Linked DNA regions of Astyanax mexicanus. The protein of the gene in region 1 purifies or fractionates together with the protein of each later gene. This does not show direct contact. Links are inferred from orthologs where the notes say so. Each region holds a gene or a part of one and is shown on either strand. Other genes may lie near its edges.

Evidence for each region.
Region 2: the proteins of g6pd (region 1) and hars fractionate together in Homo sapiens (co-fractionation; 3 studies listed by BioGRID). This does not show direct contact. The link is inferred for Astyanax mexicanus from reciprocal best matches to the Homo sapiens genes G6PD and HARS1.

What each region holds. Positions count from the first base shown.
Region 1 is NC_064420.1:16,496,568-16,513,445, reverse strand, and holds the start of g6pd (glucose-6-phosphate 1-dehydrogenase), read left to right. Parts: upstream 1-9,079; 5' UTR 9,080-9,183; coding exon 9,184-9,268; intron 9,269-9,823; exon of another isoform or gene 9,824-9,838; coding exon of another isoform or gene 9,839-9,869; intron 9,870-11,316; coding exon 11,317-11,438; intron 11,439-16,878. Other genes in the region: polypeptide N-acetylgalactosaminyltransferase 6, read left to right, coding at 1,111-1,281, 1,673-1,786. UniProt on the Homo sapiens protein: Catalyzes the rate-limiting step of the oxidative pentose-phosphate pathway, which represents a route for the dissimilation of carbohydrates besides glycolysis.
Region 2 is NC_064409.1:70,908,064-70,925,715, forward strand, and holds the start of hars (histidine--tRNA ligase), read left to right. Parts: upstream 1-8,285; 5' UTR 8,286-8,332; coding exon of another isoform or gene 8,333-8,422; intron 8,423-10,161; 5' UTR 10,162-10,448; coding exon 10,449-10,559; intron 10,560-12,220; coding exon 12,221-12,310; intron 12,311-12,403; coding exon 12,404-12,523; intron 12,524-13,619; coding exon 13,620-13,715; intron 13,716-14,453; coding exon 14,454-14,579; intron 14,580-16,030; coding exon 16,031-16,138; intron 16,139-16,308; coding exon 16,309-16,407; intron 16,408-17,652. Other genes in the region: trappc11 (trafficking protein particle complex subunit 11), read right to left, coding at 3,183-3,352, 3,442-3,645. UniProt on the Homo sapiens protein: Catalyzes the ATP-dependent ligation of histidine to the 3'-end of its cognate tRNA, via the formation of an aminoacyl-adenylate intermediate (His-AMP). Plays a role in axon guidance.

The DNA.
Region 1 (16,878 bases):
TAAGCTATCTTTCTTAAATCTGATTTTTTGCTCCGATTGGATTTGGCTATCGTGACTGTTCACATTCACAAATGTTAGTGATCTGTATCTGTGTGTAATGTGAAAAAATCTGTCCCTGAAACGCCTGACTTGCACATTGATACGTTTATAATCGTTCTCTTCTTCACCAACAACAAAAAACATGTTTGAGAGACAACTTGTAGTAGTTCACACAACCATATAAAAAAATCTGATCTGAGGCACATTGAGCAAAAAAAATCAGATTTGAGTCACTTCAGCCTGGTAATGTAAATGTAGCCTAAGCAATTTTGAAACTGCTAACATTTTGGTGCCAGATGCCTTCACAGGTCTTGTGAAATTCATGTTTTGAAACCTGAGATCTGTCTTAGTGTCTTTAAAATATTAATATATTGAAGTATTGCAATAGTGTTTAGATTTGCAAAAACACTGTATTGATGTTTTACGAATAGTTTACATGAAAAGATTGGTGTCAGTGGTTAATTTACTGTGGTGTAATTTACTGCAGTGTTGTACTCTGTCTTCAAAGCACACTGTTCTGATTGCTTATAAAGTGTAACTTTTCTTAACTCAGATGTAATGATTAATAGTAAGTAGCAAACAATAATCCTGTTTTTCTAAAATTAGATTAGTATATGCCTTGCTTGCAATATCACAATATTTTTCCATTAAAAGACTCAGTTATACTCAGCAACTCAGCACATTACAATATTCTAATTTAAAAAGCAGTAAAACTACACTGAGATATTATATTACAGTACTGTTCCCTACTTAAAAATACAGTTAAGAACCAGCATTTAAAAAAGTAATCATGGTTTTATTCATGATAAAATATTGTTGTGATTTACCCAATTATTTATTTAATTTAAGGTATTGTCACCAATAAAACAAATCTAATTGTTTGCAACAGTGGACAGGAAGAAAATGTGTGATTAATCATATTTAATTTATTTAATTGGTTGCCACCACTAGTATTTTTTACAAAAAGATATATATGATACCTGTAGGATAGTAGGAGAGGTAATTTTATGTACAGTAAAAAATTGTCCAGATCTGTTAAATACTTAAATTTCCACCCCTCTAATTCTACAGCATTTTGAATACACAAGTCGTCAGGAGCTGCGTCACAACACTGCGCTGCAGCTGTGTCTGCATGCAACGATTGCACCGGAGCCTGTCCGCATTGAGCTGTGCAACTACAGGGGTGGCAGCACTGTGCCAGCGCCACAGCAGCAGTGGAGCTTAAAGCTCCTCTCACCACAGGTACAGTAGATACAGCAACCAACTATTTCATTAAACCCACATCATTTCTATCCAGCCAACAATACCCAAATAGGGTTGACTGGCTCTGTGGTGGTCCTGTTTGGTCCAAACCATTAAATATCAGGGTGAATGTAGGATAGTAATAAAATATACAAAGAAACAGATACAGGACTACAGTCTGTAATTACAGAACTACAAAGTGCTCCTATAGGATCAATGAAGTGGATAAGATCTACAGAAAGTCCAAAAAACAAAGAGGTGGTTTAATTGGTTATTTTTGTGTTTGGTTGTGCCTGGTGTAGACAGTGTTAAATCATTTGAGATTGAGATTGAGATTTTTAAGTTTTCAGTATTAAATTTGACCACTTCACGTGTCCTTGTCTGTTTCCAGTGTTGTCTCCTGGAGTGTGAGGTGTTTAAGAAATGTCTAACAGTAGAGGGTGGTAAAGCTGTGATGAAGAACTGCAATCCTGCTGACAAATACCAACACTGGACATTCAGCTGACCAGTATCGGAGTCTGGTTCTGAGTTTGTTAAAATGAGAAATTATGTTAATGGATTGATTTTGTAATGAGCTACGATTTGTGCTGTCCTGTGGATTTGTTGTGATCATCCTGTTTACTGCTGTATGTCTAGTTCAAAGATAAAGTTATTTTTTGCAAAACAGTGTGCATAAATTGTGCATTTTTTTTAAACATTTGGGCAAGTTTGTGTAAGCCAACAAACAAATGAAATTGAAAACATGCCCATGTGTGTTTGCTTTGTGGGGATTTGAGGAAAGTCCTGCTATAGGCATATGGCAAACTGTTTAATCACTGAGTTTGTTTACATGTACTTCATAATCCCATTACTACAGAACGTTACTGCAGAGTTTGTCGGTAATCTGATCAACGTTTTTACATGGACTTGGGTAAACAGATAATGGGAAAACTCAAGAGTGTACAGGTCCTGTGGGGTCCTGACTATTGAAGAACTGGGTATAGGGAAGAGAAGGTGTAAAGATCCTAATGATGCAGCATAGCTCTTTTAAGTTAGTTCTTTATTAGGCTTATTGCAAATGTATTGCACTTAAATGTAATGTAATGTAATGTAAACACAGTGAATGAAGCTATGAAGCCAATTACGCTTACCTCATGGGGACCCAGGGAGGTGAATGAAATAGCTACTAACACTTTCCATGGTAGATTAGACAAACATTTCACACCTTACCTGAACCTACATTATTAATACATGGAATACCAGTAAAAAAAAAAAAAAAAAACACTCAGCCTTTACAATTATAGCCCAAGGCATCTGTGAGCTCATGTATCGGAATCGAGTCGTAATGCATCAACAGCAGTTGGAAAAGAGGTGGTGGCTGAATTCACATGTATCGGAGGAGGCATGTGCTAGTTTGGTATTGGGGTTCCAGGAAGGTTAAGTTTATAGAAATAACATTACAGTAACATTCTGAAAATGTATTATAGTATTAACAATAAGTTGTTTATCACATAACGTTGCCAGACAGATGAGTGCTAACATTACGGAAACGGTGGAAGTAACATGCCCTACCATGCCCAAAACTAAAAGTAATGTTGCAGCAATGTTACCAGAACATATATATTTTTTTTAATAAAAACGTTTGAAGAACATTCAGAACCCTTGCCAGATTAAACCGTCTACTAACATAAAGTTGTTAGCTGGGCTTATTAAATAATAAGATAAATGCAGTATTGCGAATATGAACAGATTTGGAAGGGTTGGTTTGCATATAAACACTAATTGTAAACCCAGATTTATATTTATTTTGTGACAAAACGTATTAAAAATGGCCCTCCATAAGAATATTTGTTGTTTTAGCAGAGGTGCCAATTATAGGTCCAGAAAGTAGAAATCCACTCCAGGATTGTGGCTCTGCTGCAAACCTGTTCTGCACCAGGCAGGTGAAACACAATCCTGGGGTGGATTTTTACGTTCTGGATCTGGATTTTCCACTATTGCCTTGAGTACCTCCTAAAGTTACACTGTGTGCTACAATATTTACTTTATCCAGCAGGAGACGACAGGAGTTGAACAGCAATACCAGGATAGCAAAGAACATTGAATTATGCAAAAACGTATTTATTTAAATAATAATGCGGATTTTATTTCTTCATTTCAGTAGAACTTGGCACAGTGCCAACACTACCCAAAGTACCAGCTGGTCTTATATAATATTCTTATTTTCTGAGAGACTAATTTTAAACGATCAAATAAATAAACGCTTAAAATTTATCACTCTGTGTGTAATTTATCTATATAATAGATTTCCACATTTTGAACTGAATTACTGAAATAAAGTAACTTTTCAATGATATTTAATTTTTTTTAGATGCAGCTGTACATGTTTAATGTAAAGTTTATTACAGAGCACACATATGAAATATATGAAGCCATGAATTAATGTTCAATAAACTAAAATCAATCTTTCAAACTTTTTTAATCTGACGATTTAACCCTTTCAGACCCTGCATCCATTACACTCGACATCATGTATTTTCTTTATTTTAAAATGTTTGTTGCACATAACACTATTTAAGAGCTGTTGTTCATCAGAAAATACAATGAACCAGCCAATGAACGAGTTTATAAACTAATAAAACATTAACAAAAACAGTTGTACTTGAGCCATTGAGGCAAAGTAACAGCTGATTTTTACTAAAATAATGTGATTTAGAATACTTTTTAATAATGTTTTTAACTGTTTAGGAATAATTTATGAATAATTATTAATAATTATTTTTTTCCATCACTGGAGATAATTCAGGTCTGAAAGGGCTGTAACGTTGTTGTTTTTAGCATTACAGAGATTAAAAAATAAGAACGTTGATTTAACGTGCTGGGTGTGTTGGCTTGACCTGTCAGTCCTGATCCTGATCCTGGTGCCTGGTGTCTGATTGGCTCGCAGCGCCTGCTGTTGACTGGTAGCCCCGCCCACCGCTCCGCCTGTAAGAGTGTAGTAAGCGTGTCGTCACGGAGCAGAGCCGGGATGGGAAGTGGAGCGAGTGCTGGTGAGTTTCTGTCTAAACCAATAATATCGCGCAGTTCCGCGGAGTCACGACGGGACCGGTGAACGAGGAAGCGCTCGGGTACTAATGTGCGGCTAGCTCTCTCTCACTGACACAGCTCTCCGCCCTCCGCTGCGCTGTTTTACCCTCCCGCCGCGATTCTCCGCCGCGTTTCTCCGTGTTTACCGGGAGCAGATAGATGTGAGTAGCTGTGTGATGGTGCTGTGTGCAGATTACCGTTATTAACTACACCGCCTGCAGCTCTAACTTCACGGTAAACCGACAAATAACTGCTGATTTAACCCAAAGTTACCGGTAAACTGCTGCTCGCTCGGTTAGCTAACATTAGGTTAACTAGTTAGATTAACTGTAACGTTACACGTTTAACAGGTAATTTATATTCTACAGACACAGGATTTTAACTCTGTAACTCGTAACTAGCTAACCTAACTAATTAACTAACTAAGCTAGCTAACCAACTAAAGCTAGTTAACCTAACTGTTAACTAGGTTTGGTTACCTGCACCGTGTTTACACCAGTGCAAATAAACCGAATTAGCTGCAGTAATATCGGTTAACGTTATTTCAGGTGTAGCTTTAACTCTAGCTTTTTAAACTCGTTCACTGAGGGGCACTTGCTCCATAGCAAAAACACTATTAACCCTTTCAGACCTGATTTATCTCCAGTGATGGATACAAATGTTAGAATTCTCTTTTCGGTCTGTAATGCACAGAAAATGAAACTCTCATATTCTATTATAAAATATTTATAGCAAATAATATATAATATATATATATATATATATATATATATATATATATATATATATATATATATATATATATATTTATTTATTTCCATCGCATTGGAAGCCAATGTTTAACATTTTCATATTTCATTTTGACCTTTTGTTCCACAAATAATCCCTAAACAATAAAAGAACATGATTAAAAAGTGTTCTGAATCACAATAAATTAGAAACAGTTAGCTGTTCCTTTGCCTCAATAGCTCTAGTGCTACTGTTTTTTTTCTGGTTAATGGTCTATTCTGATGAACAACAGCTGTCAAGTAGTGTTGTGTGCAACAAAACATAAATACATAATGTTAATTTTAATGGATGCAGGTTTTGATAGGGTTAATCTAAAATAACTTAGTTTACCAGTCGTAACTCAGTGTTTTTAGCAGTAAAATGACATACATCTAAATTACATACTGGACAATCTATCTCTGCACTTTCACACACATACTCTATAGATTATTTGCACATGTAGGGTTATCTGGGATTGTAATATCTATATATTCACTTATATTTTACCTTACATCTACACTGCAGTACCATATGTCTACAGTGTTATAAGTTATTGTGTATATTGTTTAAGTTAATTGTATACTTTCTATTTTATTATACTTATTCTTCTCAGCTTTGTTGTAAATATTGTTCTCTGTATTCTGTGGGAATCTGCACCCAGGTTTTTCACTCACCTGTACACCTGTACTCTGATTTGATTTGATATCTGTAATGTAGTTTAATCTACTATAAATTATTTTATATATCAGCTACTTCATATTTACTAGTAAAACATTCTGACTAAGCATACTATTCTACTGTCGATTTACATGCAATTTCACTCTGTTGTCAATAAATGACATTTTTCAATAAACAAAATCTAGTTACAGAAATCTGCTATTTCCCCTAGTAATAAAGTTATTATATATTTTGATATGTCCACAAAAATTAGCCTGTCACAACAATAAAAAAAACAAATTGACTTATTGTACTATATATTAGCATAATACTTTTTTTATAACCTAAACTAATCATTGTTCTTTCTGAGCAAGAAAAGCCCATTAATGTTTTATATGTGTAAAATATTTTAACATTACTATATTCTAACTCCTAAATATTAAAATGAATCTTAAATTATAGTTTTAAATGATAGTTTATAGTCCAAAAACTGGTGACAGTTATGACATGCTTATCTCCACAGTAATTCTCACCAGGTCCACATATCATTTGACAAATACATTAATATTCTCCAATGTAGTTTTAGCTAAAGGGTTTAGCTGGTCTTATTTATAATGTTGTTGTGTCTGTCCCTGTTTTGCACCGCCACCGAAGAGCCCAGCAAAGTGTCTGGAGGGCAGCCGGGTAGGCCTGTGTATGTGTGTGCGGTAGATAGGGCTGGGGCGGTATTGATTTTTTATAACCGCGGTAAAAAACTAACGCATCACCGCGATATTGCGGTTAACCGCGAGACCACAACCCCCCCCCCCCCCCCCCCAAAAAAAAAAAAAAAAACACCGCAAATTTATTGGTAACAAATCTTTATTCTTCAAACCATACAGCCTACATACAACTTCTACATAAACCATAAATACAGCATAACAAGTGAACATATGCTGCCTGTATAATTCGTCATTGTACAGCTAACCTGTCTTTTTCCGTGCAGACTTTTTGAAGGAGGAGCTTGTCCGCCTCCCCCTTCTCCATCCATAGATCTATTTTAGGGCTGGCCCGAATAGCGGTTTTGAGCTCAGGATATTCGGCAGTAATTGGTAGCGAATATTCTAATATTCGTTTAAAAAAAAAAGACGAATTAATCCACAGCAAAATTTTCCACTGACCCCCGGCCCCGAAAAAAATATATTTCTCACCCCTTTCCTCGGGCCGTTCGGGCTCAAGGCTCAAGAAGTCTGTGATAGGCGTCTGTTTTTTTTTTATTCACACTCTTCTTATTTCTCATTAAATATCTACTAGATACAGATTATATCTGTACAGTATCATTTATTTCACTTCCCTCCTGAATATTTGGAGTGCATTATGTCTCCTTATGTTGTGATGTTATGTAGTTTTCACCCCAGAATTTCTGCTGCCTCACACCAGGCTTCGGCTGCATCGCAGGGCAGGAGCGCAGCTGCGTTACGGCTATTTCGTTTGAATTGTGCAGTGCAGAGTATTACAGATTTTGTATTTTTGCACTTGGGCTATTAGCTCAATATTAAATATTTCGTTTGTTTATAAATTATTTTATATTCTTAAACCATGTTAAATTATATTCGATTGGAGGAAATTAATTCAGACATCATTTCTTTTTTGTCCCGTTACCGTTCCGCAAAAAAAATCCTTCTTTTAATCCCGCATCAGCCCGCCACATACACAGTTTTGCCGCACCTGCCCCGCGGTCCTAAATAAATTTAATACATTACATTTAGTGCTTAAAATTAAAAAAAATATTTATTAAAACCGCGCGCGGTCACGTTTCTTACCACATTACAAAAAAAAAATCGGTGTGTGTGTGCGCGTGTCGGTCCATTCTCCGCTCCTTTTTTGTGCTTAGGGTTTTTTTTGTTGCGTGCATGAGAATCACTGCGTGATTATTACAATTTTCTTAACTATTTATTAATGTGCTCCCACATCCTCTGGATTGATTAAACTCCTGTTCCCGCCAATAACAATTCAGTTCTGTCTGTGCCGCAAGATATCCTGACGGGACCCGCGTCATATAATATGTTGATTAAAATGTCGTGACGTTAAGAAATCGGCTCGCAAGAGACAACCGACCAAAAAAAAGACATTAGTTCCATTTTAAAATAATAGAAACCTGTCCTTTATGTTTGACAATTTTTGTTTCACTTTACGTGTCCTTACTCATCTGAAGTTTATTTATCTGAACTGAGTTTCATATGGTTATATTTGTAGCGGTTCTGAACTCAGTTCCGCGTGCTGTGAAAGAGACAAGGCGCAGCGCATTTTACCTCAGACTTGGTCAGATAACAACATTTCAGTAAAGATGGTGGTTATAGTTTTATATCATTGCTTTGCTGTTTGAACTACACTTCAACCAACCTTACTATTTTTACCAAGACTGAGGCGCAATGCCGCGCGTTCTCCGCGGTGCTCACGCAGAACAGCCAGCAGCCAGACAATGAATTAATATATTTTACTTTCTCAAAATGTGACCACGGAACACCTTACATGGCTCTATGGTTTACCTTGAGGTGGGTGAATTAGTTTGATGTGTTGGCGAGAGGTGCAGACACCACTTTCCGGCAAATCTTGCAGATGATTCTCTTCTGTTCTGAGTCTTTTTCTTCCTTTTTTCTCAACTTACTGAGCCTGCCCTGTAGCTTCCATTTCCGAGCCAATATTAGTGCTGCTAATCTTCACTCTCTTCAGCAGCCTCAATGGAGACGAAGTGAGCAGGACCTCAATGAGTACCACGCACCGCGTTTTGCTTAACCCATTCGCTGCCGCGCCAGTGCAGCGGCAGCACAGATAAATGACAAAAAAATTTATATTCGATATTATGAATTTTGAGATCGTTTGACACCAATATCTATCGCGATCAAAATATATTTGATATATTGCACAGCCCTATAGTGTAGGACTTACACTTGACATATTAATACTGAATTCACCACAGTTGTGCTTATATGGAGCATTTTACTACCGCTCAAAACGCAGTCAATCAGATTTGACAGCCATAAAAAAATGCGGTAATGACGGTAATGAGCTCATCACCGCGGTGACGTCCCATAACCGCGGTATTGCGGTAATAAAATTATCGTCACAGCCCTAGCGGTAGATGCTCAGGTACAGCTAGACTGGTGTGTAGTAAAGTGTGTGTGATAGAACTGAGTGGTAAATCGAATTCCTTTGATTAATCAATTTATTGTTTTAATGCAAGTTTTAAAAAGGGGTAATCGAGATGCATATAAAAGCTGCCTAAGGGAATTTCAGTATATATATGAATTTATTTAGACTAAAACGGCTTATAATATATACTGGCTAATAACACAGGAGTAATGATATGTTGTAGAAGTATTAGCTAAGGGGTTTAGTTGGGTTAATAACTGTAGAGAAGATGGGAGGAGGATGGGCTTTTTTATAATGTTGTTGTGTCTGTCCCTGTTTTGCACTGCCACCGAAGAGCCCAGCAAAGTGTCTGGAGGGCAGCTGGGTAGGCCTGTGTTTGTGTGTGAGGTAGATGCACAGGTACAGCTAGACTGGTGTGTAGTAAAGTGTGTGTAATAGCGCTGGGTGGTAAATTGAATTAATTTGATTAATCCATTTATTGTTTTAATGCAAGTTTTTAAAAAGGGGTAATTGAGATGTTTATAGAAGCTGTCTGAGGGAATCTCAGTATATAGGCTTGTGTCTATCAGAAACCTGTAAAGAACTCTTCTATGTGGAAGTGATTTTTGCTATTATTAAAAAATAGCTAAATTAATTTTTTGTATTGATATTGGTTTCATACAAGTGTTGTAATGCTTGCACACTTGTGACTCCCCTGAACAAAAAAAAATACATTAATATTAATAGAAATTATACATGTGGCATGTATAAAAATGTAAAAAAAATAAAATAATAAAACTTATTATTAAGTTATTTTCAGCTGGAAAAAAAAAATAAAATATATATATATATATATATATATATATATATATATATTATATAAATATCGCCCAGCCCTATAGCATGTTTGTGCATGTGTTAGTAGCAATATAATACTGTATTTTGCTTTTGGCAGATGCATAAGTCTTTTGAAGGAGATAGGAGGGGTAAGGAACTAAACAGCTGAGATTAAGGAATATTTACCGCTATCTCTTTGCTGTGTTTCGTTCGTCTTTCCTTTTTTTTTATATTGGTACCTGAATACTGTATTCTTGCGCATGCTACTAGTTATCTTCATACTAATGATTTGATTTTTTTTTTATAGAATTTTAGATTTTCTCACTCTTATTGCCAATCAGCGCCTCTCTTTCTGGGAAGTGGGCTTTGGTGGTCTCTTCATTCTACAGATTCAAGCATGCAGATGTTCCTCATGAGTCGTTTTGCTTTATTTTCCTAAGCTTTGCTATGTAAAGTCGAAGAGTAAATAATCCACTCCTATATTTCACCGTCACATAAGTCTGGAATTAAACCTTTAAAAAATAAACACATTCAAGGGAAGTTTTGTTGTGAGAGCAGTACATAAATTTAGCTTGTTAGCTGCTGTGTGAGCTTGCTACCATGTATATTATTATAATACTATTATCTGATTATTTGGAGTATGCTGTGTATTCCAGTATACACAGCATACTCCATTTTCATAGATTGGATTAAGATCTAAACATCTGAATAAGCTGATTAAGGTAGCTGGGTTTTAGCTCAGTAATCAGAGTTTTGGTGCTTCTAAACTCTTAAGTGGAGTATTCTTGAATTTCGTGCATATGTGAAAACAGACAGTGGTTCCAAAAATAAGCGAGCAGTGTTTAACACAACACCTGTAAGATGATGTCCAAATACTTTTGGAGAGATACTGAATCTTTTAGCTGATTCATGTTCATATTGCAGCTTTTGTGTGATGTTTACATCACGTCTATTATGCGAGTTTATTGGCTGGTTGCAAAGCAAAAATCTGATTATTGCCTCACTTAAGTGAACTCTGAGTTGCCTCATTATCTGATTACCCAACTGTAAGTAAATACATTGATTTGGTTACTCTGTTCAGTAATTATCATATTATGAAGTTAATGCAAATGAACTTAAACTGGACGCAATATTTTGTTGATTTGGGATATATATTGTGATAATATGAGTGCTCGTCAGCACACATTGTGATAACCGATATATTACGCATTTAAATCGCAGCTAACTGGGATGTCAAAATGTTAGATCTTTAATAAATGTTTTTAAGATAGTTTTGTCAGTGCTTTTTCGTTGAAAATCGGGACAAAAATACTTTTAGGCTATTCATCTCATCTGTGGTGAAACAAAAGTTGCAAATTGAATGAAAACCTCTGAAAAATTTGTTAAGTATCCTGTGTTTGGCCTTCAGACAAACTGTTAATTTTGTTTGGTTTTGGGTTTGGCAAACTCTTGACTTTAGTGCATGACTAGTTTTGGTTCATATTTAATGAAAGTGGTAAAAGAAGCTGTGCATGTAGGCAAGTTGCCGTGTAAAAAGAAGTAAAAGTAAAAGAAGTTAGAAAGGTGAGAAAAAGCTAACTCTTTTATTTGTTACAGAGAAGATGAGCGCCCTCCCGCTCTCTCGTTCGGAGGTGTTCGGGGAGCTGCGAAAAGAGCTGTATGAGGATGTGGAGTTTCATCACTCCGACGTGCACATCTTCATCATCATGGGGGCCTCGGTGAGTGAGAATTTGTAATGGGGGGATGATGGTGTTAGTGTACCTATAAAGGATTGAATCTTAATCGCCTGGTTTTCCAACATAAGATCTATTATTATTGCTTAAGATGTGCTTCTCTTTTAATCTTTGCAAACGGAAGATGTTGTTTAGTTTGTTTCTAAACTTGGCCTAATTTGGCTACAAGGAGTTCTGGCCCAAAATCTAAAACTTATTTATACTGGGTCTCATTCATCAATCGCTGCCTTTCATTTTTTTTGTACATAAGTTATTCAAAAGGTGACGTGTTTATGAAATGTAGGATTGTTCTGCTCTAATAATGATCATTTCACTGTCCTCATAAACCGAACGATTCCCAAACACTGTAGGTCTGTTACAGTAATCACATTATCAGCTTATAGAACAATATATGGACATAACTTCAGTCATTTTTGCTGACTGCAGTATTACCCACTGTGCAAGTATGCAGTTGTGAGGACATTTATTTATGTATAAGTATCATTATATCAACACCTTAATTAAGTTGCTTTAAAATGACAATTATATCAGTTATACGATTATTAGTCAGACACTGTATAGTCCGGTATTGGCCTACCCAAATAAGAAGACATTGGGGAATGTCAAAATTAAAAAAATATATATATATATATTAGTGCTGGGCGATAAAACGATATCGATAGTTATCGAGGAAACTATATATCGCGATAAGTCGGGGCGAGAAATTCGATAAACTAAATTTTCTATTTCCCGTTTAAGTAGCGTTGTGAAAAGGCGCAGCACGAGATCAGGCAGCACGCTGAACTGCTGCTCAGCCCAGTACAACCCCTCCCCTCCCCTCTCCACCATCCCCCTCCGCCCCACCCCCCGAGCCCCTCCACTCTGAACTCCTCACATAGCGGCTCCTTCTCTCCCATTTACTGGATAAACTTCATTTATACTATTCAGCGGCGCTACACTGGAAAACTCACCTTTTAAATATGAGGCATGCGTCTCCAAGATATTTAGAGAGGTGAGCTTGTTCAGATTTCTGAAGGCAGGTAAACGCTGCTCTGTTTGCTGCTAGTTAGATTAGCTTGTCTCCAGTTTAAAGTTAGCGATGTTTAGGTGTAAAAGGGATCTGTGCAATCTGTCATCATTAGCTAAGATGCTTTCACTGCTTTTTACATTCTAATAAACTAATGGGTAACGCACGTTAGCCGTGTTAATCCACGTTTCGTGTAAATTAAGGTTAACTTCAGCACGAGTGAGGGGTTAGTATATAAACACACAGAAAGGAAGCACTTTCCATCTTTTTTCCTAACTCTCACTGTTTCTGTTAGAAAACCCTGAGGGCAGCATTCTCCTCTGTCTTTGTGTTTTATAGTTTTTAACAGATAGAGAGTCTGTTATGCTGGATATTTTACTAAATACAGAAGATTATATAATCTGTCTAGCTGTATTTGAACTGAGCTAAACATTGCTGTTACTGAACTGGAGTTTTAAATACACTTAAGTAATGTAAGTCTAGTCTACTGAAAGCCAGTAATGTTAGTATAAATCTGTACTGCAGTAGAAGTGGATCATTTCAGAAACTTGACTTTATTCCTCCCACCTCCATTATAGGCCACTTTTTTTTTTAAATATTTAAATGTTAGCTTAATTTAAATGAAAAAAAAAACTAAAGGCTCTTATTTAAAAAAAAACATAAGCAGTAAATTATCTAAAATTACAACAAATAGAAAATAGAAAAACAGTAAAACATATGTAATACATACTTTTTATATGACCAAAATTAAACTAGACTGAAATCTGACTAAAACTAATAATATCCGATAGACTAAAATGTAACTAAAACTATTATACATTTTAGTGAAAAGACTAAGACTGTATCAAAATCACCTGTCAAAATGAACACTGTGATATACTCTTGTATTTTGCTTTATGTAGTTGCCTGCATTCAGGGAGGGGAATGATCTTTTGATTAAATATAATTTTATAAAAATAAATAAAGTGTTATTGCAATTTAAATTAAACAGACATATAATGTAAAGGGTCTTACATATTTTTTAGTTTATATATTTGTCCCCTTTTTAAAATTAATTTAAAAGCTGTACCCACCTGGCAAGATGTTAACATCCTAGTGTCTGTCCACAAGGCTCTGAGCCTGCTAGTGATTTTGTCCATAACTCCCTTATTCTGTCACTTCTGAGTAAAAATAGAAACCTTTAAGTGTAACAGAAAGTGATTTGATTTATATCGTGATACATATCGATATCGGCTGATATGAAAAACTATATCGTAATAAGATTTTTTTCCATATCGCCCAGCCCTAATATATATTTAAACTGTGAATAAACAGATTTTTCTGTTCACCTGAAAAAGTAAAAGGGCTAATTTATTAGACTAATTATGTTTTATTGCAGAATATCAGAGCACTGCTGTTTGAAATTGCTGAGGAGCATTTGTAGTTATTAGAATAGCACTACTGAGGTAAATTCATTTAGGCTATGTAATGTATTCAGTGGTGGAAGAAAATTCAAATTTAACGTAAACCTGCAAAAAAAAACTATTCTGTATTTGTTCTTGATCCAAATGTTTAATTGTTTTCTGTTTCAGATTTAGCTAAAAGGTTTCCTATTTGTGCATCTGTTTTTTTTTAATAGTTGGTGAATAAGGCCCATTGATTCTTCCAGTTTTACAGTTTCATCCATTGTTATATTATCATGTCATATCTCTCAGCTCTGAGGCTGTGGGTGCTTTGTCTCTGAGGAGGAAGTTAAGGTGTAGTTTTGCAATCGAGGAAAGGAAAGTGGACTGCAGAATGAGGAAACAGAGCAGGGTTGAGTAATATAGTAAATCAGTCCAGTGCTGCTTAAGTCCGTTTCAGGGCCCTGAATATTGATCAGTCAGATACAGTTACGGCAGACCACAGATTGGCCAACTGTTATGAAATTTCTGAGTGGTTAGACTTAGGAGGAAGTAGGCCTAAAACTGGGAACTAACTAGAAAAGAGGTTTATAGAAGTCCATTACAAATGGAAATAACCTTCCTAATTGTGTTTAGTATAAAAGAGGTGGAAGGACGGGCCTTGGGGTGGGGGTGGTATTTAAGGATTGTACAGGCAGTGGCTTTTTGTAAGCTGTGACACAAAGCCTAGGCTGGTGTTGAGGTAGGGGACAGGTCCTCAGTAGGACTGCTGGTCACACATATGGAACAGTCTAACAAGGCTCTCCACACTGGTTGCTTAGTTTTCCATCATTTTGGCCAATTGTCCTTGTGCTAGTGTATTTTTACATACACAAATATTTGTAGGTAACCGAGAGATGAGAAGGATACATCAAATTACTCTGAACCTCGGTTGGATTTCTCTGCTGTAAATAAAGTCCTTCAGTTAGCAACCTAGACATTTTTTTAAAGCACAATATTTTTAACTCAGCAGTGCTTTTCTAATAACATGTTTACCTCAGCAGTGCTATTCTTATCATTTATATATTTCAGCAGTGCCATTCTAGTCACATTTAGCTAGCTAGATATAAGTGGCAAGTGGTGCCATTCTAATCACAAATCCGTGCACAAAACAGTGCACAATTAGTTGTAAACTTACCTCAGCAGTGCGACTCAAGTTACATGTACATTACCAGTTAGTACAAGTACAAGTTTGGACACAAACTTCTCATTCAGTGTGTTTTTTGTTTTCTTTTTATGATTTGCTACATTGTAAATTTAATATTAAAGACATTAAACATTTTGTTAAACAGTGTTAAACAAACCAGAATATGTTTTAGAATTTAGATTCTTTTAAGTAGACATATTTAGCTTTGATGGCAGATCTTCACACTCTTGTTATTTTCTCAGAGGTTTCGTGAAGTAGAGTCACCTGGAATAGTTCCTGGAGGTGCTGAACAATAGTTAGCTTCTTTTCGGTTATGCAGTTGTCTAGCTTATCCCAAACCCCCCCCCTCCTTCAAATCACCAACTCTAGCCCTGTACAGCTCGTAACTTTAAGCTGGAAAACTGTTTGTGGAGAAGATGTAAACTAATAGTGAGCATGATCAGTGATTCTAAACGCTTTAATTAGTTTAATCGGTGTGAGTACTTGCTGTATTTGTAATTTTCTGCCAAATATTTTAAAATTAATAAATGCATGCCTAGTATAGAGCAGTTTTTTTTTCCAGATAGTATAGTACCGAACCTATTGGTGATAGTTCTGGTTAAGTGCTGCTGTTTGACCTTTTGTTTTAACTGTTCAGATTATAGTGCAAATGAACAAAAATCAGCTGGTTTTGCAGTTCTTCTGTTACATTGTTTTTCTTTTTTTAAACAAACCAGTAAATTCTCTGCTTGCCTTAACTATAACAACATGTAGCATCAGGAAATAAGGGTGTAGCAGATACACAGTGGCCTCCTCCCTCTGTGTTTACACTGCTTTTTTCCCCCTTCAGTAGAGCATTGGTAGAGTGAACAGATTGTGCGGTATCATTCCCAGTCAGCACTTTTCTTTCAACAGGCTGGAGTGTAGAGGGAGAGAGGGGTGGAGGGAGGGAGGAGGTCATGGCTAGGTAACTGTAGCACTGCTGGCATTAGCTTTGGCACTGTGCTGAGACCTGTAGGACTGAATTAAGCAAGAGTTTCAGCTTGTCTATCTTCCCCTCTCCATCTGTTCACTGAAACAGTCCCACAACTAGGAACTGGACTAAGAATGCACCACATTTGGCAACCAAAATTATTTAGTTGAAAAGTAAAAAAAAAAAAATTGAATAATTTATACAGAACTCATTTATTTTGAGTGTCTATAATATTAGATTACAGGAAGTGAGTGAGGGAGACAGCTGGCAGACATCAGACACCAAGTGTAAGTTAATTTGTTTTCATCTGTAGGTGCATGAATTAAACAAAATAAAGCATGTTTACTACCTTTACAAACAATGGCTGTTTTTTAGCTGAAATGTACAAGCTGCACAGCCTGAAATAGTAATGTTTGCTTAAATAAATTAGACTTAGCATTTGTTTCTGTACCAAAAGTCTGTCTGCCTTTATCTGTGTATATTTTACTCAAATATGGCTTGAGTAGCACTGCTGAGGTAAATTCGTGATTAGAATAGCACTGCTGAGGTAAATTTATGATTAGAATAGCACTGCTAAGGTAAGTATAAAATTAGAATAGCACTGCTGAGGTAAATTTGAGATTAGAATAGCACTGCTGAGGTAAATTCATGATAAGAATAGCACTGCTAAGGTTAATTCACGATTATAAAAGCACTGCTGAGGTAAAGTCATGTTTGGAACAGCACTGCCAAGGTAAATATGTAATTAGAAAAGCACTGCTGATGTAAATATATGAATAGAATAGCACTGCTGAGGTAAATAAATAATTAAAAAAGCACTGCGGAGGTAAATTCATGACCAGAATAGCACTGCTGAGGTAAATATATAATTAGAATAGCACTGCTGAGCTAAGTACATA
Region 2 (17,652 bases), on another chromosome or scaffold:
GTACAAGCTGTGGTAATCTCACACCTCGACTACTGCAATGCCGTACTAACTGGCCTCCCGGCCTGTGTAGTAAAACCACTACAGATGATTCAGAATGCAGCAGCACGTTTGGTCTTCAACCAACCAAAACGGGCACATGTCACTCCGCTGCTCATTGAGCTCCACTGGCTACCGGTTGCTGCTCGCATCAAATTCAAAGTGCTTACAATCGCCTACAGGGTGATGACAGTACAGGCTCCTTCCTACCTGCACTCACTCCTGAAGGCTTACGCTACCTTCCGGCCGCTGCGCTCCTCCAATGAACGTCGCCTCGCTTTGCCAAACACTCACACAAAGCAATCCAGACTGTTCTCATACAGAGTTCCCCAATGGTGGAACAAACTACCTTCCACTACCAGATCAGGAGAATCTCTCACTATCTTTAATAAACTCCTGAAGACAGAGCTCTTCAAAGAGCACTTACTCTCCTAACACCTCTAACTAACTACCTTCTACTACCAGATCAGGAGCGTCCCTCGCTATCTTTAATAAACTCCTGAAGACAGAGATCTTCAAAGAGCACTTACTCTCCTAACACCTCTAACAAACTAACTAATTCTAACCTCATCTCCTTCTTCCTCTTCTCTACTCCTCTATCCCATTATTTCCCTCTGACCTCCTTAAGGCCCTATCTATAGATGCTTTATTTTTAACTTCTATTATTTTTGTACTTAACCTCTTCTATTATTTGCACTTCAATATTGTAAGTCGCTTTGGACAAAAGCGTCTGCCAAATGTAATGTAATGTAATGTAATGTAATGCATCAAAGCTCAACAAGCTTGGAGGAGAATGCTAAATGCCAATCCATTCATACAACAGGGCCTGCACTGAATCATGTGGGCTATTCTAAGTAGATAAAAGAGGATACTGTATACAAGTGAATTATGCTGCCACTATGGCTGTGCAATATTTTGTAACTATTGAAATATTTAACTATTTTACACTAGATACTCAGTATACCAACTGGGTGCCATTTAAATCCTATAAAAGATGCGTAGGGATCATTTGTGTCGTAATGGTTTGGTTTCTGAAAAGATGACACTCAACAGAGTTTGTAGAAGCATCAATTCTTATTAACTAACTTCAATTCACCTCAAACAACATCCAGAGCAGTTTACTTAGACACTGAACTACCATCAAGAGTGTATCTTGAATCTAATAATACACAAGAGGGAGTGCTATAACGTGTAACATTGGCACTGCTGTGCCGCAGACTGAGTGCCGTAGATCAGCACAGCATTGCCAATATGAAACTTTTTAGCACGAACCTCGAGTTTATTTTGTGATTATGTCACTAGGGTTGCAGCGGTAACCGGTTTCACGGTATACCATGGTATTAAAATGCACGGTTATCATACCGTGTGTGTTTGCTTATTACCGGTAAAACGCAAGCCAGCGGAGAAACTCACCCGCGCATGCGCAACTCTGCTCCGCTTCAGCTGCTCAGCACACAGCGGTGAGAACAGCAGAAAGTGCATCAGACTAAACAAATCTCCGTCCGCCTAAAAAAAGGCTAAACTAAAATCAGCAGTGTGGGACTATTTCAGAGACCCGCCGAACGCACCCGAGGATGGTTATCCGATTTGTAATCAATGTGGCCGTAAAGTCACAGCTAAAGGTGGACATACGTCAAACCTGTTCTCCCATGTCCATGAACACCACCCCGCCGTGCAGCGCAAAGTATGTGTTTAGTTTATAATTTTAATCTGAACATAAATAAAACCTCTTTGTAGTCGTGCACAACCCATGCGATAAGCGCCCGCAAAAGCGCTGAGTTATCCGAAATTTGGGCACCCAGGTACAGGCGTGAAGTGCGTGCTACGATGGATTCACGTGTCCGTGTAAAGGTCCTGGCCGGACTGGATGTGAAAGACGCCATTCATTTACATGCGTTAATTTTCAAATTCTGACGTGCCTGTTTTTCATGTGTTAAAACCAGACTCTGTGTGAAAGCCTTAAAATAGAAATATCTATTGTGAGGATCATGTCAGAAATAAATCCCCTCTTTCTGCAGTATCTGGTTATATACCAACTTGGCAGTAAAACGGACGTTTACAACAGTTGTTGATCAGACACTGACCCAGGCTCAGTTTATCAAATATTAAATAATTTAAATTTAAATAATTGTACTGAATATTTTAAATACAGGATCTTTTATATACACCCTTAATGCCCTTAAGAGTAGTGGAAAAACCTGGTTTCCTTCACCTAATGGTGTACAGTTTATTTTTTTTAAGGAGACATTATCTATATAGTTGTTCCAGGTTTCTACAATAAATAGTTAATTGAACAAAAAACCTTTGTTGTAATTTCTTTAAGGGTCAGTTTAATAATATATGTAACAAACTGTGATACCGTGATAACCGTGATACCGCGGTATTTTCTGAGACGGTTATCATACCGTGAAAATCTCATACCGTTGCAACCCTATATGTCACAGTTCCATTATCACTGTTTATTGAAAGTTAAAGTTTGAGTTAAAGAGGACGAGAAAATACAATCTTGGTTTTATACATTTATAAAACCAAGATTGTACTAATACAAATTTGGTTAAAAAAAATTAAGTGAGATAAAATGGTTCCATTGCTGCTCTGTTTGTAGCAGCGCTCTTTGGCTTGTAGGCGCTGCATCATTGCTAGGTTACCTGTATGTGGCGGAGTAATACATGGAGAATTTCGATTACAGCACATTACCGGCTGATAACGGCACTAACAGAACACCTTTCAGCCAATCAAATTGCAGTGTTGGATCTAAACGTGGTATAATAAACAATGTATATTACTTAAATACACAATTAGATATTAACTGATTATTTTTGTTGTTACAATTACTAAATTAACATTTTTAATGTTTTTTTTTTTATCATCCCATATTGTATTAAGTATATTGCCATTCCTCTTAACCATATCAAGACATGAGTTTTTTATTCATATTGACTAGCCCTGACTAGGTCATATTAACTGCCACATATCTAATTAAGTATATATAATATTTTAGTGTTTACTGTTTCCCCCCACACACCTGATCCAGCTGATTAGCTAATTAACAAGCCCTTTCCTGAGCTAAGGTGATACATAATGTATTTCATGTTTGGCATGAAGCTGGATTTCTAAAAACAAAATCAAATAAGATTAATATCTACCTGACAATTTCCACTTTAGTGGCACACTCCGACTGCTTCTCCTTCCACTGAGCATCGTCCCAGTCAAGCTCATAGAACAGCACCACCAGAGAAGGCACCAGGTTCAGGTGTTTATTCATCCAGCCTGTCTTCAGGATGCCTTTAGGAATGTACCACTCGTAGGAGGTCCTCTGGAAGAACATGAACAGCACTGTCATGAAAGCAAAAGATAGATGAACTTAAAAAATAAGCACACGGTGGAATAAGTATCCACTCTTACCTTAGTTCTACACTTCGGGTACTCGTGGTCACCTGGCAGGACTTTAAAGGAAATGGGCACCCTGTCTGCCCTCCTGTTTGCACAGAAAGCGTCCCATATGGCTCTGTGCACTGCGTTATACACCACATCCAGACCGGTCAGAGCCACGAAGGCCATTGGCCTGCAGCACAGCTCTGGGGGGAGATCCCACTGCGTCGGACTCATCTTACCAAGAACTGGCCGTTCAAGAGGGGAACTAAAAAAAAACTAATAATGCAATAAAGAATTAATGACAGAATATTTATTTATAATTATTAACTAATAATTATTTTACTTATGATGCTGCTACTGAATAAACGTCATGGAAAAGATGTTAATCTGTTTCAGAAGGGTCAAATTATTGGCATGCCTCAAGCAGAGAAAACATATAATGCCGACCTTACACCTAACGATTTTCAAGCGATTTTACTGTCGAAGATTTCCAAATATTAAGAGTCAGGATAAAATCACGAGTCTTGCTAGAGTCGAGTTGCATTAGCGTCATCTCAATCTTTCAGTGTTAGGTGGTTAGGACTAAAAGTTTTAGTAAGTCAGATTCGCGTCCTGAAGCTCTAATAAAATCAACCCTGTTCATTATTACAGTAAGTTTTGAGACTTTGCTTACGCAAATAATGACTCGAACAATGTCAACAACCAATAGGAGAGCCATGGGAAGCCGCAATGCAAGAATATTTTACGGGTTGAAGTTAATATGTACAGTTTTTTAAGCACAGGTAGCACTTTAATGTCATCATATTGAAAGTTATTATATTTTGCACTACTTTGATCTATTGTGCAGTACAATTTTTGATACAAACACGTTCAATAAATACACATTCTGCAAGACTGGTGTTTTTTATTGCATTACTTCTATCTAAAAGAAAGGCAAATGTATAGCAATGAAACTGTGATTCTTTGCTATACAAGGTTGTAGCAAAAAAAAAGGGGGGGATAATAATAAAAAAAAGCTTATAGAACGAGTGAAAAACAAAATGTATTCTATTAAAAAATATCAAGAATTAACATTGCGACAGAAAAATAAACTGATGATATAAAATATGTATTGTATGTAAACTCCACCATAAGCATGATGGAAAATAATCTCAGAAAGAATCTATTAGTTGCGGTCTTGCAGTTAGTGATCCCCAGTCTTAGCAAAGTTTTAGCAAGTGAGTAAAATACTATGACTAGTCTTTAGATGTAAGAGGGTGTCAAGACTTTAGTCTGTTACAGTCTTTTCAGAGTCTTTTTAAAGTTGTGCAGTGTATGGACAGTATAAGGAGATTGCTGACACTACTAAAATCTGGTTAATATCTGTCCAATGCATTAATAAAATGTGGAAGGACAGTGGGGAAACATCATCTTCTAGGAAGAAATGCTGTAGGAAAAACGTTCTGAATGAAAATAAATGTTTGGTGAAATCAAATTGTAGAAAAATAAAACTAGAACTCAGGATATGTTTAATAGTGAAAGTAAGAGCATTTCCACACTCACTGCAAAAGGAACTAAAGGGATTGGGACTCAACAGCTGGGTAGTTTTAAGAACTCCACTAATAAGTGATTAGATGTAGTTACTATTTTTTGTCATGTCAATCCCTGTTTTTCACAAATACTCGGCTACACTAAAATGCACTTTTAAAATAAAATATAGATTGATTAATTGATTGAAAGAGCTAAAAGAGCTTAGCTAGCCACTCAGTAGCTAAGCTAGCTAACTAACTAACTAGCTAACTCACAACATGTACAATAAAACTCTAACAAAACAATAATAAATGACTTGCGTGGATTTTAAGCAGCCAAAGAGACAATAAGAGGTGATTTTCTGCAGGGTCTTCTTTATTATCTCAAATTTCAGAGAGTTTAGCTACAGTAAACAGTAAGAGGGCCCTAGCCTGAGTGCACCGAGCTAGCTTAGCAAGCTAACCAGCCTCCTGTCAGCTGAGCTCACCCTGATACACAAACAGCGTATATACAGCTAATAATATTAACACTATGGCTTTTAACTTAGCAGAATTATTAAACAGAGCCTGCTGAAGACTGATAAACACTACAGAGAGGTTTAAACCCTGTTAAACTGCAGAAACTAGAGCAGTGTCAGCACAGACTAATCAACAGAGGTAGCTAACAGAGGCAGAGTCACACCAGCCTGAGCTAGAGGCAGTGACGAGATAATTAATCAGGTTACCTTTTACTGCTGCAGTCTGTTAAATCCGTCTACATCCACTTCATTTACATTAAACCCTGATTAATATCCGTGTTTATCTCCCAGAGCAGCCGGGCCCACACCCCATGACCCTCCGCCACAGCCACCGGTGTTGTGTCGCGATGTGCTACCTCGTCGAATCGTGCTACCACAATGTGGATCCAGTTAAAGCTGCTGAAATAAAACAGTAAATAGAGCGTTTTAAGCTAAATATAAGCCCTGCTAAATCACTGTATTAGGTGGATAATATAGCTAAAAAAAATAACAGTAATAATAAGTATTTTCATTTAAAAATTCAAATTAACCATTTTTAATCACGCAACTAAACAACATTATGAGCTTAGACTGTAATTATATTGTAGCAAAGAAAAGGAAAAAGACAAAAAGGAAAATCATTATTATATGTAAAAAAAAAAAAGCCTGTGAAAATGTGTATCAGCGCATGCGCAGTGCATGTAAGTAGCACATATCGATGGGTAGAACAATATGACAGAGCACCGGCGTTTCTAGACAGACTACCACTTCCCCATATCCCTGTTATAGCAGTAAACACTGCAACCGCTAGGAGGAGCCCGCGAGAGAGTCCAAAATGAATGGAGGTGAATAAAGCTAAACGGCTAAAACTCTAATTTCAAACAGTTACTAACCTTTTCTCCAGAATTTTATTTTAATTATGTAAATGACAATGATGCATTTCACTAAAAGAGCAAAGATATCCTGCTTATATATTTTAGGTTTTCTTCAGTAAACGGGTTTTAGGCAGTAAAAGTGCTAGCATTACTGCTACTGTATGTATATTGACTGGTTGGTGAGCTGATGCTGGAGATAAAAGGTTTATAGCTGGAGTTTAAAAGCTCAGTGATAAAACATGTAGCTAATATTGTTCTGTTTTAAGAAAATTAGTATGGAGCCCCTAAGGTGATATTATGTTAAAAAAATGCATGGCCACGACTTATTAAGGTGTGGGAATGAGATCCTAAGGTGTGGGTACAAAAAAATTAAGGCATGGGAACGAGATCCTAATGCATGGGAATGAGATAATTAAGGTGTAGGAGATCCTAATGTGTGGAAACAACTTATTAAGGTGTGGGAATGAGTTAATTAAATCGTACCCATCAAGGCTTGGGAACAAGATAATTAATGCGTGACAATGAGATAACTGAGGTGCGACAACGAGATAATTAAGGTATGGCCACGACTTATTAAGGCATGGAAATTAGTTATACCTATATTAGTCGTCCCTATTAATGTGTGGGAATAAGTCATAGCTACATGTTAGGATCTTATTCCCACACCCTAATAAGTCATGGCCGCACATTCAGATCTCATTCCCACACCTTAATAAGTCGTGGTCACAACTTAATTATCTTATTTACTCGCCTTACTTATCTCATTTCCATGCGTTAGGATCACATTCCTGCACTTTAATAAATCATGGCCACACATCATATATATTTTTTACATGATGTCACCTTATGGGCTCTGTAAATTACTCAAATTTTTCACTATACATTTTTTAAACATTAATAAACTCTGATTTCGCTCAATTGAAAAAAATTGCATTAAACTGCATTTATTCATTTAAACAAACTCAGCAGACATTATTAAGCGGGTAATCTACTCTCTATAGAGAGTCTCTGGCTCCGCTTCATCTGCGGCTTTGTGCTGCAGAAAGAGCCAATACCAAATTACTGCACTCTACTGGGCAAACAGGGCAATTACTATCTTATTGTGGACAAACGGGGGCAATTGCTGCCCTCTGATGGATAAACAGGGCAAATTCTGCCCTTATTGTGTAAAAGGAATACAACTTTATAAAATTGATGTTTTATATATTTAAAAAACGTTATAAACACCTTACATGACTGTGGAACATATATCATCACTTATGGAAAAAAACATCATAAAATAGAATAAAATAAAATACAAAACACACAAGGCTTCCACCTTTTTTGATTGAGAAATATATATATTTTTTTTTTAACATAGTATTTTTAACATAAAAAACACCAGCAGATGACATGTCTCTCCCAACCATCACTGATTGGTGGAAACTTCACACCAGACCTCAAGCAGTTTGAACTGTGTGTCTCTCCACTCTTTCTCCAGACTCTGCTCCCTTGATTTCCAAATGAAGTGCAAAATTTACTGATGATCAGTGATGGTTTGGAGAGACATGTCATCTGCTGGTGTTGATCCACTGTGTTTTATTATCAAGTCCAAAGTCAGTGCAGTTTTGTTTTCCCACAAAATCTTCCTGCACTTCATGCTTCCCTCTGCTGACAACTTTTATGGAGATGCGGATTTCATTTTCCAGCAGGACTTGGCACACTGCCCACACTGCAGAAATACCAATTGATCTTATATAATATTCTAATTTCCTGAGACACTGATTTTTGTGTTTTTATTGGCTGTCAGCCATAATCGTCAATAATAAAATAAATAAAGTCTTTAAATAGATCACTCTGTGTGTAGGACATCTATATACAATATAGGTTTCTCATTTTAAACTGAATTACTGAAGTAAATGAACTTTTCAATGATATTCTATTTTTTTTTAGATGCACTAGTATTATACATGAGTATTATGTTAGTGGGTACACGTGGTTTGTGCGTGTGTGACGTTTTTTGTGAGGGACCGGTCCTGCGGGGAGCTGAGAGAGCAGCACCATGGCGGATAAAGCGCAGATTCAAGAAGCCATTAAAGTTCAGGGGGAGGTGGTGAGGAAACTGAAGAGCGATAAAGCGAGTAAAGATCAGGTCAGTGTGAGCGAGCCGCCGCTGCTTAAATACTGCTGTTATTAGAGCTGAATACGGGCCTCGTTTACCTGTGTTTCTACATGTGCTAGTTAATGCTAAGCTAACCTGGTGCCGGTCTCTGTGGCCTTCTGTATCATTAATCAGCATTTTTGTACATGTTCTTTAGCTGACAGCAGATATCATCAGTGCAGCCTCAGTTTTCACATTTAAAGAGGCTGTTTTACTGTTTATAATAGCCTTCTAATGTTAATTTTTCAGATTTGAATCGCCTTTTTGAATTGTCCGTTCCACCTTAAATGCTACAGTTGCCGCCTAGGTTTCCGTTCTTATTGTGTCGCAGGTGCCGCATGTTACCGCTGTAAATTTTAAGGTGGAACGGAACTATTGTAAAAACAATAAGGCATCAGGTTAAGCTTCGTTGCTACACGTGTACAAAAGCAAAGCTAGCACATGTTTTGTTATTGTAATGTAGTTTAAGACTTTATTTATGTACAGTTAAAATATTGATGGTTTACTGGGTCAAGCTGACGCAATATCAGAGCCAGAACTGTCATCAAATCATAGTAGACAAACAAAGCACATATTGTCTTGAGTTAAGTATTATTTAAACACTTATTTACTAGCAACCAGTCAAAAAATGGACACACATTTTCTCTGTTTCTGTTTTCTTTATGTTTATTATCTTAATGTTGTAAATGTAATATTGAAGACTATACTGAAGCTAAATAGCAAGATGCATAATTATTTTTTATACAGAAAGTGTTTTAGAAACATTTTTATTTATTTTTCCAAATAAACCCCAAATACATTATGTATTATACATAAGCACAGGTTGTGATACACTTACAAAAACACATACGAGTACCAACATGAAAAAAAAGAAACACACAATAAGACATTGTAACAAACAGTGATTGGGGCATAGTAAAAAGCCTTCAACTAAAACACTGACACATACACAGCAACATTCTTTGCCTACAATGGCAATAAACTCAACACTTAAAATATAGTTCTTATTTTTGTTTGGCATGATACAATTCTGATATCGATATGAACAGTTTGAAAGCCACAGCCCTTTGTGTAAGTAATCACAAACTGATAGAGCTGGATGATATGTTAAAAAAAATTGTATCACAATATTTAAAGACATTTTCACTATACACCGTATTAATCATATTTTCATCTGCCATGGCAGATACTTATGTTCTGTTATTCAAATGCTTTTCGTAGTACACAGTTCATTGGATTCTTATTTAATTTTTGCTGGACATCATCTAATTTAACGGGAATTTACACACTCAGTGTCAGGATCAATGTTCTTTAAGTACAAGTGATATAATCAATATGCATTTTGTCTGTTCAATACAATAAAATATCAATATATTGTCCAGCTTTACCTAGAATTAAATATATTGACATCGAAGAAGTTTTTTTTTTATCTTATGGAAAGTTGCAGTTTTGGAGATTTTTTTTATAGATCATGTTTTTATCTTTGTCTTTGCACTTGTTCTGCTTCACATTTGGGCCATTTTCATTTAAAGTGTCTTTCTTTAAGTTAAAGTGATTTGAGAGGAGGTGTGTGTGTGTGTGTGTGTGTGTGTGTGTGTATGTGAGTGTGTGGTTATTCTGATAATAATGTCAGAGCAGAAGCTTTAGTGTCCAGTTGATTTTGACTCCATGCTCTCATGTTTTGCTCCCTTCATTGCTTCATGCCTCGCTTGTGGGCCGCGGCCCCCTAGTGATAGGGTTGCTCACCACTTTTCTCCTGTTCTTCCTGCTTGTTGCTGCGGATACTGCCTCCATACCTGGGCTCATCATCTTCATCACCTTCATCGTCTTCATCATCTTCCGCTGAATTGATGTTGGAACTGCTGCTGTGATTTTGCTGTTGGACTGCCGGCTCATTCCCCTGGACTGGGATTGGAATTGGGCCTCTGCTGTGTGCACTGACTTTTTGGGGCCTCCTGATATGTGGACTGTGCTGCTGTGTTCCTGAACTGTGTGCTGTGTGTTTGTGGACTGAAACATGGCTTCTCTGGGGCTGGCATGTGTGCGTCTCTGTGCTGGACTGACTGGACGACATGCTGTACCGTGCCTCCGCTCTCTGCGCTACCTCTCTGGAATGACTGTGTCTCAGGTAAGAAAGAGCTGTTTTTACTGTGCACACTCACACAGCCTGTACTGTGTACTGATAAATGGATCTGGATATAGATTTGGAGTAGTTATGCACATAGTAGTTAAAGTTATAGTAGTTATAGTTATGCACATAAACACAGCTTGTCTATAGATATAAAGGTCAAAGCATTGAGCAGTGGAGCAGACTCTGGAATAAAGGTGCTCCATCAAATACATTTTCAGCCACACTGTATAAACATATATACTGACATTTTAGTTACATAAAACAAAACCATACCATGCTTCAAAAAAAAGAGAGAAAACTTTATTAAATTCAAAGAAAATACTCTTCATAAAAGAAGCTAGCGCTGCCTCCAGCCGATCTGACCTGAGTTTGTCTTCCCTGTTGTAAGATTCTCTTCCTCGGCCTGGTAATGGCGTTCATCCCTGTGGACAAAACAATCTGAAGAGTAACAGCATTAATGGAGAGCACCATCATAATTCCACTATTTACACATTCAGTCTCTGAGTTACAGGTTAATCTACATTTACTCCGTCTAACAGTTAATCTAATACACTTTAAGTAACTCAGATACAGGTTAATCTACAGTTATTACATCTATCTGTTAAACCTTTTGCACTGAGCAACTGCCTGACAATGCTGCACACCAGCAGGGTTTAGCTTAGCATGCTATTTGGGGTTAGCTTAGCACACCAGCTGCATTTAGGTGAACCGGTGAATCAGCTAAACCGGCTAACGGTAGCTTCAGCCGGTCACGTCTTACTTTACTTTTCTTTACAGGTCTTACTTTTGTACAGGCGCAAACAACACTGGAAAACAACTTAAAACAGTGTAAAATGTACTAGTTTCATAAACACATGCAGCAGTAAGTGGAAATACAGAAGTTCTTACATTTGTACAGAAACTCCCCCGCAGTGACGACTCCTGGGTGCCGTCATTCGTGCTTCAGCCCTGCTTAACTGATCACTCCAGTCAGAGGGCGGTGCTCGAAAAAAGGATGGTCTCGCGAGATAAAACGTGAGACCTTAAAACCGTATAACGTATATACTCAGAAAATTGGCTAATTTTAAGAATCCATCTCGGGTTTATATAAATTGATATTGGATGGTTCAAATGAACATTGATTTAAAAGGAAAAATAGATTTTTTTTTTTTTATTTCAAAATTTTCCCATTTTCTCACCAATTTACACGGCCAATTACCCAACCCACTCATTAGGACTCCCCCTATCACTAGTGATGCCCCAACACACCAGGAGGGTGAAGACTAACACATGCTTCCTCCGATACAAGTGAAGCCAGCCACTGCTTCTTTTCGAGCTGGAGGAAAGCACAGCGGCTCGGCTCCGGTACATCAGCTCACAGACGCCCTGTGCTGCAGACATCACCATGGGAGTGATGTGGGGAGAGAGCACCATCTACCCACCCAGCCTCTGAGCGCCGGCAGCTTGATGGCAAGGCTGCATGAGCGGGGGTTCGAACCTGCGACCTCCTGCTCATAGTGGCAGCGCTTTAGACCGCTGGACCACTCGGCGCCCAAAATAGATTTTTTTAAAACACACCCCTAATTACCACCCTTGTTTAGCTGTTACGAGTTTTATAGATTATGTCCTTAACTTCAAATCAGTTCTTATATTGTCTACTGTATATATTAATATTGCAGATTGACGAGGAAGTTGCCAAACTGCTACAGCTGAAGGCACAGCTCGGAGGAGACGATGGCAAACACACATTTGTTCTCAAAACTGCCAAGGTAGGACCATCTGTGATACAAGGTGTTTGTTTATCACCTGTTTTAACATGCTTTATGTTTGTGTGATCTTTCTGATTGTGTGCTCGTGTACAGGGGACCAGAGACTACAACCCTAAACAGATGGCCATCAGAGAGAAGGTCTTCAACACCATCATCAGCTGCTTTAAACGCCATGGTGCTGAAACCATCGACACCCCAGTCTTTGAGCTCAAGGTATCCTCATCTATACACCAGAGCACCAAGTTCATCAAGAGTTTCCTTTTGTCTTTTATTTTGATGCACAGCTATGTAAAAATTCTGATATAATCTGTTATTATGCATCATTTGGACTTTAATTTTTAATAATATATTTACACTGAAATTCATTGTTAAATAATTAATACAGTACATTTTTATTATGCAGTTTTAACTAAAGTGCTCCCAGCAGACCAAAAGTCTGGTATAGTCAGGATTACGGGTGTGAGCATAACAAACGTGTAAAATCATAGTAGTGCACATCTTTGCCTGACACAGACAACATCGTGCATGAACGCCTTCTGCGCCAGTTTGTGTGCATATGTGAAATGCAAATATGTCTTCTATATATGCCACCTACTGGACAGGGTGTAGATTAATTACTGTATTTTTCGCATTGATAGGTGCACTTAAAATCCTTTAATTTTCCCCAAAAAAGTCAGGTGAGCATTATAATCTGTTACCCCCTATGTATGAATTTTACCAGTCAGGAGCAGTAAAGCCACTCTGCTGCATTATAAAGCATTTTTAGTTTAGTCCTCCAGTATTAGCCGTTAAGTGCTAGCTCTTTTGCTGTTCAGAGGTCAGTATATCGGACTGTAGTCTGCGTGTTTACCGTGTTAAAACAAGCTACGTGGGACGAACCACTAGGTAATATCACCCGGGCTTACCAGAGCACTCAGGGTTCCTCAGTGTAGCTCTGTCGCGCGGCATTAGCCACTAACCGTGGCTAGCCTTAGTGGAAATCTGCAAATGTAAGCTTACTGTAAATTAACAGGAGTGCTTTATTTATCCAAATAAACAATTTTTAGGAGAGAAATCTGTGTAAATCTGTTGCTTATTAGTGTTGCACAATACGGCTTATAATCCAGTGCGTCTTGTATATGAAAATAGACCAGAAAATAGCCAATCATTGATAGTGCACCTTATAATAAAAAAAAAAAACGGAACACTGATAATGTCTGTTTTTGTATGAGTATCTATATTTTTAGTAGTGGTGTAAAGCGCTGTAAATAACGTTAGGTTAAAATAAAATTAACCTAACCTAACCTATTCTTTTCTCCCCTATTCATAGGAAACTCTGACGGGGAAGTATGGCGAGGACTCCAAACTCATCTATGATCTCAAGGACCAGGGAGGAGAGCTGCTATCTTTAAGATACGACTTAACTGTATCCTCTATATGTTACAGAGAGTGTACTATTGGTGGAAAAAAATATATGCAATATACTTAATATCATGTATTAGTTACATTATACTTCATACTAAACACTGGAGAATCTATTAAATGGGTATAGCAGTGCTCTCTGCTCACAATTCAATTCACGATCCTGGATTCATAATTTTTCAGATTTTCTCACATTATATTTCTTAAGTGTATAAACAGTGCACCTTGTTTAAATGCTCCTTGTACTGTTCTAAGTGTAAATTAATCACTTGTTTATTTAGGCAATCTAGAGTGAAACTATCATTGTCTAAGCAGTCAGATAGAAAGGAAATATAATTCATTACTCTACTTAAATTCCATTTTACTTTGATTTGCATTTAAAATCAAAATCTTATTTATCAGTCCACTAAATTATTGGAAATCTTTTCCAATTTTCCAGTTCCTTTTGGCCTGTGAGGGCTGTGTGGAGGATCTGTCGTGACTCTTGGCCAATGAGAGTCAAAGCCAGACACATCCTCTACCTTTGCTTACACCCATTGGTTCTTTGGACTGCATTAGCATGGTTATGATCTTTGCTGTTAAACAGAATATAAAATTGTATCTCATTTTTTTCATCACAATGCAACATGTTGTGATGCTTTGTTACACCTCTAGTAACTATAGCTTTTTTTTATATTTGATCATGATTTTGTTTCTACTCGATGCTGCTGCTGTTCTGCTTCCTTATCTTCTCCCCGCTCAGGTGCCCTTCGCCCGTTACCTGGCCATGAACAAAATCACAAACATCAAGCGCTACCACATCGCTAAAGTGTACCGCAGAGACAACCCTGCCATGACTCGGGGCCGCTACAGGGAGTTTTACCAGTGTGTGAGTACCGTGACGTTATAGATACACTAACACACGTTGTCTGACGTGTTTATATCGCAGGTTTTTAATTTCAGTTCTGTCACATGTTCATGTATGTGTCAGTCTGTGATTGGCCTGAGCTCCCAGCAGAGCAGAACCGTGTCAGGAATAATTCACTTTGTCTGCAGGGACCGGTTCTACTTCCCAGTTCCACACCAGTGAAACACACTCCAGTAGTGGTAATGGTGGTTAGATACAGGGGAGCTGACTGACTCCAGCTCAGCTGCTCAGAAACATTGTACTATATTAGGATCATATTGAACGGAAGAGAGAGTGTTTCTTGCGGTGCTCGCTCAACCATTCATTTACAGACATTTCATGTGAGCTGAGAGGAAACCCAGGCCTCTAGCTCACAACACAGATCAGAATCAGTTTGTTTATACCTGTGTATTAAGAGTAGAGCTGCATAGATCATAACTAAATATGAATTAATGAAATAATATATTAAATATATTATTATATTGACTTAACGTAAACGTTACTTTAATCTTTTGTTGTTACTTTTAGTTATAAAGGTCTGTTTAATATTTAGTGCAGTTGTCTCAGAACTCAGAGTCCCAGGGTGGTTGCACTTTTTATTTGTTTTATTTATTTAGGATACTAAAATATTTTTTTATATTAGAAACCCAATGTCTATTCTTGATAATAAAAATTAAAATGGTGTAAAATAGTGTTGTAATATTATAATAGTATTATTATGCTACTATTTTATTACTTTGGCACATTGTCTTCTGTGGAGCCCAGAAGCAGGAAAAAAACATTTTCTATAGTGGTGCTTTAAAATGACAATATTATCGTTTATCGCAATAGTTTCTGGGACAATATATCGTCCTGAGAATTTTGTTATTGTGACTGGCATAACCGAGCTAAAACTGGATGCAGGTTAGATGTGCCAAACATGGAATGTGGCAAAAGACATTGGAGACTATACTATTTTCTGTCCCATGACTTTTGCCGTGTTGGCATTACTGCTTCCATGAGGTGGTATATGGGGCCAGGACCCCAAACTCATCTATGACCTTAAGAACCAGGGAGGAGAGCTGCTGTCTTTAAGATATGACTTAACTGTATCCTCTTCATGATACAGAGTGTGCTCTATTGTTAGAAAATGAAATTTGCAATATACTAAATATATTGTATTAGTTACATTATATTATAACACTGGAGAATCAATAAATGGATAATATTTAGGGGTGTAACAGTGCTCTCTGCTTTAGTGGCCCATGAGTTTTGGCACAACGTTTGGCATGTAGCTCAAGCTCATTGCTGTCTGAATTGAAAAATTAAAGAAATAAGAAAACCGCAAAATATATATATATATTTATACTACTCCTAGGTAGATTAGTCTGTGTGTTTTGAGCTTTTGACTCTATTCATGCCCTAAGTTATATTTCGTTTATACCCTGTTTTAGGATTTCGACATTGCAGGTCAGTACGACCCGATGATCCCGGATGCAGAGTGTTTGAAAATCGTTTACGAGATCCTCAGTGAACTGGACCTGGGAGACTTCCACATTAAGGTCAGCTGACTGTAGCAACTTGGTGATAATTTGAAGGAAAATCTAATTTACATAGTTTTTTCATTTGTCTTGTTTGGTCATTAAAATTAGCCTTTGTAGTTTCTCTCTGGAGAAACGTAACTAAAATAACACACACTTCATTTTTGATATTCATCTTGTGTGAATGACAGGTGAATGACAGACGTATCCTGGATGGGATGTTTGCAGTGTGTGGAGTTCCAGATGACAAGTTCCGCACCATCTGTTCAACTGTGGACAAATTGGACAAGGTGAGAGAGCAGAATGCAAAGTGAAGTTCAGGCTCAACCTCTCTGCGGCGGTGTGGCTTTTATTATTCAACTAAACCAGGCAAAACTGAGGATCAATGTGATTCTAAATGAGCTTTTTTAAAACAAAATGTCACATGCATATTTAATTGGTTTTCTGATCATGAAACTTAATTGTTTTATGTCTCAGTTTGGAAATAAGGTTTCTGTTGTGTGAATATTGATCATTTTCACCGTATTTAAAGAGTTATTATACCACATTAACCATGTCAAGTATTTTGGCCTACACTGTTGTATTTCACCATTGTGACCATTTATACTTGTGCATTGGTGTGTCTGCATTGCTCTGCATTTACTGTATTTTTTGCACTATAAGGCATCCCAGATTTTAAGGCGCACTATCAATAAACTTCTATTTTCTGGTCTATTTTTATACATAAGGTGCACTGGACTATAAGGCGCATTTTAAGAGACACTATAAGGAACTTCTACTTCAGCAGGTCTCTTCACTAGGTGGTGATTAGGGGTAGCCAGAGACTGTATAAAAAGATGGACGCCGTGTCTCTGTTCCCATTCGTTCAGTGAAAATGAAACCAAAATCTTCCGCCATGTTGGCGATCCTGAAACCCGAGTCTGTGCAGTAGAGACCAGAGGAGGGAGAAAGACTGTGGAAAGACAGCCTACTTACTTAATTAACCCCGCCCCTGAGGGCTGCCTCCACAGATCGGAGCTGGCAGTCTGTTATTGGTCCCACCCATAACCAGCCCTTTTACAATAACCACACCTTTTTTGAATAGAGCTCAATAACGTTTTTAAAAACGAATTCTGTGGGAATATAAAAAATTTGACAATATAAGCAGAGGTTACACTAGCTGTTGCATTTAAAAAATGGAGGTAGAATTACAGTATATTGAAAAAAACGTGATTGAAAGTTGTCTGTTTTGCCATTGAAACCTATGGGGATGGGTGGGGTTACGCAGCTTTCTGAAACCGAACAGCAGGGGGCGCCCGACCTGTGGTGGCTTTATTTTTTGGGAGACGATGCTCTGTCCAGCTATACACAGTTTATGGGGGTAGCTAACTAAGTTAGGAAATATTAAGCTAAGTAAACGAAACTGTAATAAAAAATCTACACAGATTTCTCTCATTATAACTGTCTATTTGGGTGAGTAAAGTGCTTCAGTTTGTGTACAGTAAGCTTAGATTCCCAAATTTCTCCAGCACTAAGGCTGGCGTATTAGAATTAGC